2 linked regions of the Lonchura striata genome follow. The protein of the gene in region 1 interacts with the protein of each later gene in a pairwise test. Links are inferred from orthologs where the notes say so. Each region holds a gene or a part of one and is shown in the gene's direction. Other genes may lie near its edges.

Evidence for each region.
Region 2: the proteins of GRAMD1C (region 1) and CD151 interact in binary tests that used the Homo sapiens proteins (3 or more experiments, as listed by UniProt). The link is inferred for Lonchura striata from reciprocal best matches to the Homo sapiens genes GRAMD1C and CD151.

What each region holds. Positions count from the first base shown.
Region 1 is NC_134604.1:24,251,943-24,259,341, forward strand, and holds the start of GRAMD1C (protein Aster-C), read left to right. Parts: upstream 1-4,080; coding exon 4,081-4,155; intron 4,156-4,860; exon of another isoform or gene 4,861-4,955; intron 4,956-5,464; coding exon 5,465-5,593; intron 5,594-7,399. UniProt on the Homo sapiens protein: Cholesterol transporter that mediates non-vesicular transport of cholesterol from the plasma membrane (PM) to the endoplasmic reticulum (ER).
Region 2 is NC_134608.1:44,895,012-44,903,335, forward strand, and holds the start of CD151 (CD151 antigen), read left to right. Parts: upstream 1-5,167; 5' UTR 5,168-5,238; intron 5,239-8,324. UniProt on the Homo sapiens protein: Structural component of specialized membrane microdomains known as tetraspanin-enriched microdomains (TERMs), which act as platforms for receptor clustering and signaling.

The sequences.
Region 1 (7,399 bases):
ATGGATGATCTTGTCTAGACCTGGACAAACTATTAGATGATCTAATAGGTCATTGTCATATGAAGTCCTTAGTTCACGTCCAGTTTTCAGCCACGAGGGGAGAAAGCTCTCAGGGACTCCCTGCAATGTGGCAATGTGCTCTGGATTTGGCAGTACTTATAGGGCACCTACTAAAGCCCTCAGCCTCCCCTTTATGTAATCTGTAGGTTGATACTTCCCCATATAGGGCCATATAAGACCTGCAAGTGAGAAATATGCAAGGCAGGCTAGAGGAGCTGGGGTGACAAAAAGAAATAATAAAATATAGCTGCACTCTCTTCCTGTCCTGGAGCCTCACTTAAGTCTTTGGTGCCTGCAGTAAATCCAAGCAGTCCTGCAAGCTTCTTCTGCCAGCTGCCAAGAGCATGGTGGAACCAAAACAGTGTGTGGAGGTCAGTGCAGAATTCTACCTTTCCAGTTTAGCCTCCTCTCCTACACTCACACTCAGTAGCTGGAGGAGGGGTTGAGGGCAACATTGGAAATAGGGCACTATTTCCAACCTGCAAAAAAACCTTCTGCTGATGAAATTACTGTCTTTCAGATGGTTTTCTTTGCTTTAGATCTCAGCTTCACACTCATACCATGCTGGTGCCATGAAGGTGCTTTACAAGCTGCATTCAGCTCCCAGCCATCTATGAATAAGTGATCAATGACTGCACATTGCTACTTTTAATTTATATGACTTTTGCCCTGGGCTAAAGTTGGCTCTCACAAACAGATATGAATAACTACCTTGTGACAATAACTGGTGGCTAATGCATCAGAGAAACAAAACAGAAATGAAGCTTCTAGGAATGATGAGACACATCTGGGGAAAGATAGGCAAATACACTCTTTCTGAACATTTATACTAGATAAACAGGAATGTATCTAAAGAGAAAAGTATGTTTTAATGCAATGTACAACACTAAACACAATTTCCCTGCACCCTGAGGAAGCCCTCAGTTGAAAGTTGCATTTTGAGGGGAAAAAAAAAAAAAAAGAAAAAAAGAACTTTTTCAGCCAAGCTTCCAAGAACAACCTATATTTCTTCTAATTAAGGAAGATAGTTTAGTACTCACCCGCAACCAAGAAGAAGATAAATGAAGACACTACAGATCTATAGAGTTTCCCAGTGTGCTGGCTCATGGTCACTGAAGTACATGGCCTCATCATCTCTCCTTCTGGTAGTATGGGTAAAAAATATGTGTGTATTATAGCAACAGGACCTCACATTCTGCCTAGTGAATGTCACACTTACTAAAGTTACCACAGCTTTGAGCTCACAGTGCTCTGCCTGCTCCCTGGATGAGAGCCACCACGTTGCAAGTGACAACAATTACTTCCCCGGTGGCTGTTCTGATCTCTCCCTGAGAACATGTTGAAAATGCTCTGAGAGCAGAAGGAAGATAATTCATTGTTTTTCACTTTTGGCTTTTATAAACCACAACTTTGGGCTGAGTATAGACTATCCAGAGTCTCCAAAGGAGGTCTCTCTTCTGCTGAACCCCTCCCAAGTGATGGTGAGAACACAAAGAGTATTGGCATAATTTTCTGAACAGCCAGACTTTAATGCACCACATTATCACCCTAATGCACCACAAAAGAAAACTTCAGGAACTCAGTATCTTTGTGGCTAAATGTGTATGATGTTTACAGGTTAACTGTATTCCCCAAAGTGGTTTTTTTTTCAGTGCAGAACAAATAATTTTTCTTCAAAAGTTGACTACTTAAATTCTATTTATATTTAAGTAGAGCTTGTCTGTGCAGTTTGGGTGGAGAGGAAAATTGCTGGAGAGGGCAGCCCATCTGCAAAACCAGCAGGTGTGCTCTGAATTAATCTGTGTTTATAGAAGGCCCACATAGAGCAGAACCCTCTGAGAGGAGCTACAGCAGCTCCAAGCCTCACTTGTACCACCCAGCTCTGCCAGCCGTGCTACACCTGTACCAAGCATGGGCTATTGTCACTATTTGGCTGACATCTCTTTCCTCAACTACAGGATTATAGATTATGGCACTCTTTATCTAATGATCTTGCATATCTTCAAAACTCTCCAGGTAATGGAATTATGCTTTAGTATCCAGTAAAGACTCAATTTCAGAACTCTTAGAGCACAATGCAGCTGAGAGATGCCCGAGTATTTCTGCTTTTATTTGCATTTGAAAGCAAAAGAACCCACAATTGATTTGCTAAAGTTGGCTGACCAAACAATGTCAAGAGGAACAGTCCATTCCTGGAGTCAGTAATTGTCACTGTAGCTTTGGTATGCAGACCCCAAAGCAGTGGAAGCAGCGAAAGCAGGATGGGCTAGTGGGAGAATGCAGAAAAGAACCTAGAAGGCAAATACTTCTCTGAAATGGCTTGAGAGAGTGCGAAGGCCTGTGATTACCAGGCAGGAATCATATTAGGAAGAAAAGTGGGACCAAGTGCAGTGCAACAAAGCACTTCAGAAGGAAGATAGAAGTTTGTGAGGGTCTTCTGAAGGACGTACTGCCAAAGTGTTAGTGAGCAAAGCCAAAATATCAGTGAAAGGAAAAGTTAGAGGAATCAAAAACAATGAAGAGTTTGATGAGGGAATAACCAGTAGTCAAAGGTACCTGGCAGATCAAGAGGACTTTGGCATGAGTTACTGGTTTAGAGTGCTGATTGTGACTGTGTGTCAGAAGAGTAAGCGTGCAAAGATGGATCTGAACCAAAGGCAATCCAACACTGTGTTATTTAGACCCAAGTACTTGATGTGCTTCAAAAAACCCCTTCAAGTGTGTTGTGATGGACATACCACCATTGTTTCTGCAAATGCTGTTTATGTTCATGTCATCCAGAACTAGGAATTGTCTTGTGAATCCTCCATTAAGTAGGTCATGCCTGAGCCAAAGTGCCAGGTCAGCCAGCTGTTAACTGAGGAAATACAAAGGAGGTTGGTTAGTGTTGCTGGCAGCCAGTGGTTGAACATGAAGCTTCTCCCACTTGGAAAACCCAGTATGATTCAGTTTTTGGACAAAAAGAAAAATAAACTGAGTGTTGTTGAAAAAAGCCCACAAAATTCAAGTTTCAAGTGCAAATCAAGAAAGCAAGGAACAAAAATGAAACAAACCACACATTCTTTTTCACACTCTTGTAACTTTTGGAGACTTGCAGTTGCTTGCATTAACGCTGTCCTGTCTGGACCAACAGCTGGGAGGCCGTGTCACCCACAGGGGCTTTGGGTACTTTTTCTAATGTAACAGTGAACAGGCATTACAGGACCCTGAGATGTCCAAAGGGAGCCTCCAAACATTTCCCAAGGAAGGGGTAAGAGAAAGGGGACAACAGGCTGCTTTATTGATCTGTATATCCATCCATCCATCCATCCATCCATCCATCCATCCATCCATCCATCCATCTACCAGCCAACTACCTAGCAATGTGATTTCTTTGCACCTCACAAGGCTCTTCTTCCTGTGAGGTGAGCTGACAGTGCAAATCTGCGAGCCATCGTCGCCTTGGTGCCTTGGTTGGGTGCCCCGATTTGAGGAGCCCTCCGGGTGCTCAGAGCTTGGGGCAGAAAGCACTCAGCAGCTTCAAAAACGAGACCCAGGTTTTCCTGGGATGAAACCTCCCTCACTGACACCCTTTATACCACCTCATTCTCCGCTCGGCCCGCAGCCAGCCTTCCCCCTCTCCCCCAGGAGCGGCCTCTCGGCAGTGTTTTCCGTGGAATGCCACGACCCCAGGATCCGGGAGCCGTTTCGCTGCCCTGCGCTGTTTAACCGGCTGCGCTCACGGAGGGCGGCGGGCGCGGGGCTCTCCCTCGGGCAGGAGGCAGCGAACGCCGCCTCCCCCGCAGCCGGCAGTTTTCCCCTACTTCAGCCCTCAAACTTTCCACCGGCGCGGAGGCTTCCCAGTTAACCCTTGCGGAAGCCGCAGAGGGGCTGCCGCGGCCCGACCAGGAGGGCACCGGAGGCGCCGCAGCGCTGTCCGCCCCCGTGACGGCCCCCTCTGCTCGGGAGCAGCGGCACCGCTCGCCCCCGGTACTTCCTCCCGCCGCGGGCCGGCGGCGCAGCCGGCGCCGGCCCCTTTAAATGGCGGCCGCGGCCCCGCCGAGCGCCCCGCGCAGGCAGCTGGCGGGCGCCGCGCGGCCCTCGCCCCCCTCCATGGTAAGCGCCGCGCTCCCCGCGGCCCCCCGCCCCTCCGGCGGGCTCTGCGCCCCCGGCCGCCGCCCCCCGCGCCGGCGGCGGCCGCGCAGGTAGGTGCGGGGGCGGCGGCCGCGCTCTGTTCCCGGGCAGCCGCACGGGCGGGCCCCGGACGGGCGGCGGCGGCGCGGTCCCGCCGTCCCCACCCACCTCCCCGAAAGTTTTTGGGGCGAGGCGGGGCCGGGGGCAGGGTGGCCCTCGGGGCGCCCCGATGAGGGGGGCGGCGAACGCCCCGCAGGGAGGGTCTGGGCTCCTGGGGGAGCCAGCGGGAGGCGGGCCGCGGTGGCCGGGCAGCCGCTGAGTCCCGGCGCTGCGGTGGGGAGGGCGCGGGCGAGCAGCAACTGGTGGAGGCTGCAGGGAGTGCGAAGAGCCCCCCGGGGCAGCTCTGCTCTCACGCCGCGGAGCCCGGAGTGTCTGTGCCTTTGCCTCGCCCCGCTGTCCCCTCCGCAGCCTGTCCCCAGCCCGGGCGCGGCCCCGGGGCAGCGCTGGGCGGGGGCGCGCACCCCGGGCCGGCCGGGGCCGGCCCAGCACCTGGTTCGGAGCTGAAGCCCAGCGTTGCCTCATCCCGGCGGATCCGGTGCTACAGGCGGGGTTATTGGTTAGGGCCCTGGGCTGGTTTTCTACCCTTTGCTGGCTGGGTGGCACAAGTGACGTTCCGTGGCTGTTTCCCTTCATAAAGTAAAACTGACTTCCAAAGCGAAGAATACTGATAACAGGGGGGAGTGCTACAGAATTAGAAAACAGTGCTGCTTATTATCATAATAGTAAGTGATATGAGTCAAATTGTCTCTGAAGTGTTTGTATTTATGTGCAATTTATAGTGTAACTAACATTAAGTATAAACACTTGATGTATCAGTATTATAATAATATTTGCCAGTCCTCTGGTAAAAATGCTACACGTGTATTTCTCAAGTTCTGAAAGGTCTCACGGGTTCCTGAGACCTTGCTACATGTTAGGCGCTGATGTCTTGTGTTGATGCTATTTCAGTTCTAAATGCATGTGCAGCTTCAGCGTGCAAGTTGGGAGGGGCTACATGGAAATAAAGTACTTTGATAAAAATGTAAAATATAATTAAGTATAGTGTAGTCTAGGGGGGAAAAAAAATAAAACAAAGTAAAAAGCTGTCAGTGGGAAGTGTTTCTATGCCACTCACCTTGGTGAAACTGCCATGTCGGATTTCATTTAATATACAGCTGTTAAATGGACTAACCATTTTGTTTCACCTTTTTCCATCACTGCTGGATTACATACCTTACTTCTTTGTTCACAGGAAGTTCATGAAGTGGATCATGGTCTTATTAACCAGCTACTTGCTGATTCAGAGGAGACTCTTAATTCATGCACAGAGAAAATGCAGGGTCCTGCTCAGTATAGCTGGAGTGCTGACTGGAGCTTTTGGGTAATGTGCTTTAGCTCTCTCCTAACTTGGTTTTAATTTATAAGTATACTATGTGTCTATTTTAATTTACATATATGTGTATATGTACAAGCTTTATATCCACAGCTCTCAAGTTGCTTTGTAGTCATGAATTAGTAAAGTGTTCTCCATCCATGTAGTGAGGCAGGAAATTTTATCATTACTGGCTTACTAAAGTGTAAGGTGAGACAGAGAAGGGGTGAAGTTGTTTATCTGTTGTCTCAGATCAAGTTAGTGGCAGAACTTATGGCTTCTGTGCCCAGTCCTGAATCCTTGGCATGAAGCCTTCCAGTGTTTTATATGCCTATAGAAAGACATTTTTGATGTTCTGATGCTTTTTAAGCATAAGGGCTGAATTTTGATTTTTGGAAGTGGTTGGTGTTTCTGAATTGCATTCCTAGTGTTTGTTTTTGTCAAGTAAACACATTTGTTTTCCACAAGAGTAAATAAGCTACCTGTGTTTTCTGTAAAAATTTACTTTGTGAATAAGAAAGGCAGAAAAGAAATAATTCAGTTTTTTCCCTTTCTGGGGAAATGCCTGACTGAAAGCAGAGTGTGTAATAATAAGAACTTATTTCAGTACTTTTGGTAGATTTTTTTAACTGCCTTGAGAGAAGGTGAATGTGTGTGTGTGTGTGTGTTGGAGTGTATGTTTTGCTGTTAATTTGTTGCATGCTTTGTTATTGTTTGATAGGAAAGGAGACCACATGTGCATGGAGCCACAGGCAAGGTAACAGCTGGTCTTGTGGGAGACACAGAGTGCCAGAGCCGTGAGGAAGGGAATCTGACTCAGGTTCTGTATCAGGTGTACATCCGTGTGCTTCAGCTCAAAGAACATCATCTGGTCCACTGTGTCCTTCTCCTGATGAGGTTGTCACAGTGTTCATTGTGCTTAGCACGTGAAAGATTGAGTAATTAGTAAAGGCCAGAAGGAGTCCATGGCAGAGCTGTGAGCAGAGGCATGGGATCAGATTTCCAACTCCTTGTTTATAAACCTAGCTTGTACGTTTTCATCACTCCTCTTCATGAGCAGATGTCCTGATGGTCAGGACATCTGCTTTTGCATCTCAGGCCATAGGATAAATCCCCTCCAAGTGCATGTGTACTCTTAAAAATGCAGTGGTAATCTGGAGCCGATGGAAATGGGACAGGACTAATAAAATCCCAGTAGGTCATAGACTTGTGTTGCTAGAGTGAGTTCTTGTGGTGTTCAGTATTTTCTTCACTATCCCTACAGGGACAAGGATGATCCAGGGCTGTCCTGCGTGTGCCCAGCTGTGTGTCTGTACTTGAGTCAATAGGAAGTCATGCTGTGCAGACATTGCAACTGCCAGCTATGCTCTTGCTAGGTGGCAAATTGTGTAAACTAATGCTCAATGGTTGGTGTACAACCATTACTACAGGTGGTATTTTGTGTGAGGAATAAACCTGCTTAGGTTGTTGGACCTGCAGTTAACAATTCAGTGTTTCCTTGATAGGCCTGGTGATTGAAAATAAAGTTATTATTCTATATGGAGAATGTGGCTGTGCTATTGGCTTTGCACTCTTAGGTTTGAGACACATGCTGAATGCTTGAAGTTTCTTTGGACAGAGCTTTGAGTCTGCACAGTGCAGGATACTGTGTGTCCTCACAATTCCACTCTTCCTGTAGTAATGTGTGAAGTTACTCCCTGTAACTTCAGGGGAGTGGGATCCTTCAGTGCGGTGGCAGCTGCTGTGTGAGGTGTTTTCAGAATGATTAAATGATTACCTTCTGTCTGATTTATACTCCAAGACCTTAGTATGTGT
Region 2 (8,324 bases), on another chromosome or scaffold:
AGTCTGTGAATTTTGAGGCATAAATCAGGCCAAAATATGCATATTATCTGCACTGTTCTACTTCCAAGTCTGCATGCAGTGCTGGTCTCTAGAGGCCTCTGCTTCTTTGGGAGAATTTGGCTAGTCTTAGCTAGTAGCACAGACTGGGCCTTCTGTCTTGGAGAGGTTTGTTCCCTGTAAAGGAATGAAGTCTTGTTCCTGTTCTTTCTGGAAAAGAAGTGGCCTAGCAGCAGAGACCAGAGGACACAGTGGGTCTGTATTAAATAGAATTTCTGTATAAGAAGGAAAGAAAATATTTTAAATTTGGGCTAGCTCTAAGTAGTGATCCACCTGTCTCAGAGAGAAGCATCTCCTCTTGGTTCTGCAGAAGCAGTACTCAGCTGAGAGCCTGCTGTGATGGGAACACTTCCACCACTTCCTGCAAGATCTGGATTGGGCCCTGGATTTACTGCAGGATTTGGTTGGACTTGCCAATATTGTAGTTAACAGATTCTATATGTGATCATAATAGGAACTGATAGGATGAATCCCAATGGCTTTCATTGCTTTGTCACCCTTATGGACCTGTTCACTGTCCTTAAAGTGAATGTTTACAGAACACAGAGCAGCTGCCCTGGGACCCACAGGCTCTGGCATGTGCTGCTGATTCATAGTCCTTTGCAGGATGGGCCCTTTGTGCTGTACAAACCAGGGGAGCCATATATAGCCTGTTTTAAGGCTGAATGCTGCCTGTTTCCTCCCATTCTCTTATCCTTTCCTGAAGAATCTCCAGCAACTTGGAACTGCCTTACCCTCTGTCCTGAAAGATCCCACTAGAGTGCTTTCAAAAGCACCTGGGCTGGAAGCATGAAGCAGCTGCCTGTGAAATGTACCTTTTTCTCTTGCCGGGACTTGGAGCACCAGCCTCGCTTTACTGGTGAAGGGCCTGAGAATGAGCTGGACTCAATCTGTTCCCCTTGGGAAGGGACCTTCTTGTCACTAAGGGTCCAGGCAAAGCAGGGCAAGGAGAAGCAGGGCAGAGGTAGAAACTGTCCCCAGAAGTGCTCCTATTGGCAAAGTTGCCACAATGCCTGGGCATAGAGCATCTGGGGTGCCATGCTTTCTGGTTTGCAGCTCAGCTCTCAAAGCCTTGGGATTAAGTGAGATTTTTGCTAGTGCCCTTTCCCCTTTTGTCTTCGAGGCTGTTTCTGTATGTGACTCTGACATTTTAGGCACAAGATACTGCAGCTGTGATGCAGTCCGCAGATCTTGCAGTATAGGGAAGGGCCAGTACTTGTCCATGGTCTTTCCTCTCTTGGGATGAGGTGGGTGTTCTGAATGCCTATTTATTGCACGTTTTTTGCTGGGAATATCCCAGACAGGAAAAGTACTCTGAGTCACCCCTACAGACATCAGTATTACAAAGAATTTCCATGGTTCCTTCTGGTGCCCTTTACTTCTGATAGGAAAGAGGAAGTTTTTCTCTGGATGAGCAGGATTTCTGAGTAAAAGGAAGAGCTAAAAGCAGTAAGATCCTGTTCAGTCCTTACTGTTGGCTGGCTGTGGCTTAACACTGTTTAACTGCACTAATGCCTTCCAGAGACTGGGAATTGGAAAGCTACAAGAGGCCCTGAAGGAACCAGGGTAGCTGGTGTGGAGCCTGGAGTAAGACCTACAGTGTTTCCAGGGGAACTACTTGTGTTTGCAAGGAGTGATTTTTGGGAAGGGGAATCCATGCTAAGATGTTCTGAATGTGTGCCTCCCACGCTTTGTACACAGCACACCTAAGACAAAGGTGTGAAACACACCTGACACACAAATATGGGCCAGTACCTTTATCAGTGCTGTCATACTGCAATGGCAAGAACCAGCAGGTTCTTTCAATGTACAACCTTAAGTATGTTTTCTTAGTGTGCAAACAGTACAGGCAATAAAGAAATGCTGTCTTACAAGTGGTTGTGTTGAGAGATTTTTTTTCAGGTGCTGCAGGAGATTCAGCCTCCCATGTTCAATCACTGATCCTAGTGTGACCCTCCCTACTCACTGCTCTAGCAGTGGCCTGTCCTGCATGGTGGTACACAGGGAGTCTTACAAGCAAGGAAAGAGTTAACCAGGAGCCCATGTCTTGGGGGCAGCTCAGGAGAAATTAATCTTATCTTTTTTTACCTCCTTTAAGCAGCCAGAGTCCATCCAGCTAATTACGGAGGGCAGAGCACAGAGGAGAAAAAGGGGAGACACTTCCTGAATGTCTGGGGGGTATAGTGGTTTCAGAGAGAGACTGAAACCACTCTCACCTTGTCACCTCTATTAATGGAATTAAAACTTTATTTTATTAATGTCCCATGCATCCTTTTCACTAGAGTTAGGAATTTGGTTGCTTCTAATGTGCCCTGGCATGGCTCCAGCTGGATGTTCATGCATTACAGAACTAATCACTCTGCAGTTTTGACCAAACAAATTGTTACTCATTTCCCCTGCTATAAACTGATAACAGAAGTAGTTAATTGTAACATATACTTTTTGTAAGCAGGAAAGGGTGGATTTTTGTTTCAAGGATGACAAAATGGCACAGAATTTGAGCATACTGAGCTTGGACAACGGTAAGCAGCAGGGTGGGGTTTATTACTGGAAGATCTTTTGTTGTCTCTCAGCACAAAGATTACATTGTCCTGTTGGAAGACTCAGCCACTTACAATCTAAAGGGATATGTTGCTAGTTTTCAAACCTGTCTGATATCAGACCTAAAGGAGACCAGAATTTCCAAAAAGTTCTTCATTTTAATACATTCCCTTTTTTTGTCAGAATCTCTCCTGCCTCTAAATGGAAGCTCTGGGAGCAGCCACCTTTTGTAAGTGACTGCTGGAAACTCTAGCATAAATGCAAATAATGAGATACCCTGAGGGGCATGAGATGAGGGGGGATGCAAAATAAGACTGCCTGGGGGCTTATACATTCACCATATTGGCTCCAGCCTCTTAGTGAACAAGTGACTTTTTGCACATAATCTGTAAAGTATTTTGGAATCATATCACAAGAAAGACTCTTCTTGCAGCCTGGGAAGCCTTATCCTGGAACATGCAACAGTGCACCTGTGTACACAATCAGGCGTAGAGGCAAAAGCATAAAAGCCAGCTGCTCTGATAAGTAGCCATGGCCCCACAAATCCCTGCAGGCCAGCAAAGGGACCTCACTCTGCTTTGCTTTCACTTATCTGTTTCGTGTCAATATACTAAGGGTAAGCATAAGAGGATTAGGCTGACAGCATCTCTTTGAAAAGCCAAAACAGGGCTGAAAAGAGAGCATTAAGCCACGGTGTTAAGTTTGAAGCTTTTCCACAGTATAAATGCAGAAATTTCAAACATTTGAGATGTTGTTTTCTAGTACCTTCTTTATTCCAGGTCCAAGGGACCTTTTCCATTTACATACAATTAATGAGTTACTGCTATGGGTAACTCATGCATTCACTCACATATTACTTTGTCCTGTCACCTTCTTCTGTGTCTTTTCATGATCTTTTTACTTGTTGATTGCTTAGACTATAAATATATATATTTATTGCATTAATAAGTAGACGGGACTCGGTTTCTTCATGCAGAAAAGTCAGTTCTTTATTCACAAAGCTCATATTTATAGGCGATCTCAGAAGGCACTGTTAGACCTAATTGGCTAACAATACACTGACACAGTTTATTGGTCGGTAAATGGCTAGGGCGTATGTCTGTCAAATCTCTATATTTTGTTAGTTTACATATTTTGTTCCCTGACTCCTGTGGGACAGATTTCTTGTTTATTACAGGTGCAACTTAGTTTTCTAAGGATAGGTTGTTATGCAAATGGATTCTCATTCTCCTTCAACTGAGAATTTAGCTGCACTTAGAAGAAGTAACAGTCCAGCTGGTAATTCAGCAGAGCAAGGCTTGATTTCATAAGGCCTTTCTTTTGTAATATCTTTATCTGTATGTAACATATATTGACCAAGTACTTAATCTCCAATGAAAAATGTATCTCACAGCCCATTATACACCTTCAAATGCTCTGTTTGGCAATCTCGTGTTCAGTGTAAATAGACCTGGGGCCCTGCAGTTCAGAGCTTTGTTAGGAGGTGCTCATTACTGAACTGGCTGTTGATGAGTCACAAGGAAATTTTGGTTGGTGTGGCTACAATAACCCAGCTCCAGCCTCTCCAGCCTGCAGGGCATATTTATATACATATATGTACCATGCTGCAAACACAAGTGTGGCTGTGTGCTACTTCTGAAAACACTAGTCCACAGAAGACCTGACCAGGTAAAATTAGTCTCCTCAAGGTAAACAAGTATCTGCAGTAAAAAAACCCAAAAAACTATTACTCCAGCAATAAACTGAAGACGGGGAGATGGGCATCCTATGCTGTATCTCACCTTTGCCTGCAGGCTCTCCCAAGCACAAAGAAGCACTTGTGCCTGGTCATGCCCGTTCACTGACCCAAATCTGCTGGGTTGGGGGGGTTGTGTGGTTTCCTGTTTGGGCATGAAATCCCTGGACATGGCAAGAAGGCATTTGCCCAGCATGGTGGCTACGCAGGGCTCCACCAAGGAGGGCCAGGACCTGGGCAGGGGCCGGTGTCTCTTGTGGCTTCCAGATCCTGCGACATATTCCTTGCAACAAATCTGTCAGTGTGCAAGCAAGCTGACCCCCCAAGGCTCTATTTGATCACTTGGATCTCCAGCTGCTCTGAGCTAAAGCGAGCTTACTCCTTGGGAAGGATGAAGTGATTTCTGAGTTGGGCACATGGAGAAGTTAAAGCAAGCACGCAGGAGGTTCTGAACTGGCCTCTCCCTTCCCTGCCCAGATCTCCTCTCTTCGTCCCACTCCTGAAAAACCAAGAGACGCCGCGGAGAGGAGCGGGTGTTTTCCTGGGAGCATCCCTCGCACAGGGCTGCGGCTCAAGTGAGGTAATGGGAGGATGAGGCAATGTGCCAGTCAGGGCTTGATCTTGTTTTACAGGGTTTCATGGAGAACACTTTTAACAAGCGGATCTGACTCCTAAAAAAACCAAAAACCCAAAAAAGCGGCTCCATCTGGAGTTCGCTGTAATGGAAGCAGCACCGTGAGGCGCCGGAGCCGAGGGCTGCGGACAGCCCGGGCAGGCAGCCGGGGGAGGCGGCCGGGCCGGGGTGGGCCGGGCCGGCCGCGCCTCCCTCCCGCCCTCCCTCCCGGCCGGGCCTCCCGGCAGCGCGGCGGGTCGGGGCGTGCGGCGGCGCGGAGCGGCGGCCCACGGTGAGGCGGAGCGCCCGACATGGCGGCACCGGTGGGACGGGGAGGCGCGGGCGCGGCGGCGCCGGCAGCGGGCCGGGGAAGGGCCGGGGCGGCAGCCCGGGAGAGCCGGCAGAGCCCGGGCCCCGTGCGGCAGCGGGCCCGGCTCTGCCGCAGCGCTGCTTGGCTTCCCCTCCAGCGCCCTGTGGCTTTGCACAGCTTTGCAGGGGCTTGGCCCTTGTATGCTTTGTTTTTGTTTCTTTTTGGTTTTTTTTTTTTTTTTTTTTTCTTAGGAAAGTATTTTAACCTGTTGCGGCTGGTGTCATAACTTTGCACAGCCCGCGGAATTAGTAAAGGCGTTCTGAAATGTTGCCATAAATCTGGTGAAACGATTTTTACCCCCTTCTGCCTTTTGTTCAGTCAGATTTCCCTGTTGTACAGTTAAGAGTTGGCCTTTCTGCTGGGCTTGTAGGACCCTTGTAGGCGGAGGAGGGAGAGAACGAGCGCTTGTTTACCACGCAGTCCAGGCGATGTTCTGTTCCCTTCTTTTTCTGGAAGCTGCATCAGATGGGGAGCTGATGGCAATGGGTTATTTCTGCACCGTTGTGTTGCTTGCCATGAGGAATCTTTGCCAGTAGCTTCTTCTTCTTGTCCTCTCATGAAGAACGTGAACTGCGGTAGTTATTTTTAAAGTCTGACTTTTCCTGAGGGCTTTTGTAATCAACTTGTTGCAGTATCCTGTTGCATTTTAGCAGTGACATATCTTTATTTCTGGCTACTGTGTAGCATCCCTTAAATTCTGCACTGCTCATTTCCTTTGTCCTCCATCCGCACTTCCTGGCTTTCTCTGAGGGTTCATGAAAAAGGGTTGACTTGAAATAGCATCACCCATCAGAGGCTGTTTGTTCAGACAGTTTTGAAAGACGTCCCTTTCTCAGAAAACACATTTATGTCCAATGCCATGGTTCTTAGGGAAGCTTTTGGTGTGACGAGCGGTCTTACCAGCTGGTATTGTGGAGGCTGAAGAGTCTCTTAGCATCCCACCAGTAAGACAAAGGTCTGTCCCAGTCCTCCTGGGTGACTGTCATTGCTGCCAAAGGACTGTCTGTGGTGAAGGGAGTAGAGTGCCTGTCTTGGCTGAGCTGTGGCTAAGCTCATCATAACTAGAAAAGTCAGTGCAAAAGTTTCAGTGCGTTTATATTCTCTGAAGCATTTTGTGGGCCTAGGACAGGCAGTTCCCAGTCTGTGGATTATTGGAAGCTGGGGTAGCATCACTTATACTTTATATGATGCATCTGGTGACAGGTCCCTGTCAAAGGCACAGCACTGGCTTGCACAGGTGGGCTGGCTACAGCTGCTCTGTGAGCCAGCTGGAAGCTTGAGCTGCGAGCTGGATGAGGTGGCAGCTTTTGAACTCCATGTAATTCACCTCAGATCACATCCTTGTTCTATAGTTTGCTGATAATGTCTTTGAGTTCCTGGCCTGTATTTACTTCTGGTCATATGCTGTATTTCTGCAAAAAGTATGTTTCATTCCAAACTGTTGCTTGTGTTCATTGTCCTGTGGCTTCTGCAGAGGAGGACAATGACTCCCCCAGTTGCCTGGTAAAAGTCCTGGCACTCCCTGCTGTATGCTGGCTTCAGGGATCAATAAGAAAAACGTATTTTCTGAGTGCTTGAAATAATATACCATGTGTGACACTTCATTTTACTCTGAAGTCTGAGGTGGTTAATCCCTCTTGTACATTTTGTGAGAGTTTAACCAGTTTTATTTCTCCTAACTCAGAGCAGGTCTGTTAAAGGGGTTTTATTTGCTACTTGCAGTGCAGTGTCCGAAAGTTTCTCTCTTTGGGTGTGATGCATTCTTCATGAAGGGGGTGGAAGAAAGCTGCTGGTTTTTTGTCAAGCAAAAATGTTCAGTGGGAGTAGCTGTGAAGGGCTCTCTTTCCCCTTAGGAACTTTCCAGCAGGCCTATCATTCTCAGCAAATAAAAGTTCTATCATGGCTTGAACTGTTGCATCACACATGCAAAGAAGGCAACAACTCCCTTACTCTTGAGACAGCCCTGAGGGGGTTGATTAGAGACCTGTGTCTCTTCTAGCCAGGTTATCCCACAGGCAAATTCACTTGTTCCTTCTGCATAATTTGGCTTCTTCGCCCAGGAACGCATTGAACTGTTGGTTCTGGATGGATGGAAAATGTGTATTTACATGTGTTTGTTTGTGTAACATCTCTTATCACCATGTGTTCCCTCTTGTGGCAGACTATCCTGTCTGGCATTTCCAGGTAATTTGGTCATTTATGAAGCAATTATACTGTCCTTCTGTTCTTCTTGTGACTTGTAAGGCAGAAGCTTAGAAAGAAAAACACTTGACAGCCTCTGAAAAGCAAAAAGGGTAGCTGTGAATTTTCATGTCCCAATTTACCGTTACTATCCCCAGTGGCTTCATCAGCCTTGTTCCTTAAGCCTTGTGAGAGGATGTTCTACCCCTCAACTCTACTGTATTCTGCTCTTGAGCTCAACACTGGGTTATCTCCAGCTCTCCCTGGGTATGTGCACTGACAGCTGAGGTCATGGAAAGCCTGAGGGAGGGGTGCTCCTAGAAGTGACAGCTCATCTCAGCTTCTCTGGCTTGGAGGAACAGAAGTCGTAGTCTCCCTTGTTGTTTAAAACCTTCAAGATCCTAAGGATATAGACCAAGTCTCCTATCTCACTCACTCATCCTGCCTTTCAGACCCTAAATATGGTTTTTCTTTTGCCACAGCAAAGCTGAAATGAAATGGACAGTGTCACTGTAAAACCATCCCATTTTCTCATCCTTTTTTGTACATGCATTTTGACAGTGCTTTTCCCCAGGATGGTGACCATCTTCCTAGTCTGTGAGAAGTGTGCTTTTCCCTTCTACCCTGTGTCTGAAGCCAGGGTGTGGAAGGAGAAATGAGGAATGGTAGGTGTGTGGAACGGAGATGAGGTATTCTGTCAGTTCTGTGGAGAGTGCCTCATTCCATCCCTCCCCACAGCACAGAAGCTGTTGGCTGCCAGGCCTTCTTGGCAGGGAGCTGCCCTGTAGTAGCAGCACTGCTGATGGGCATCTTTCTTCAGTGCTCCT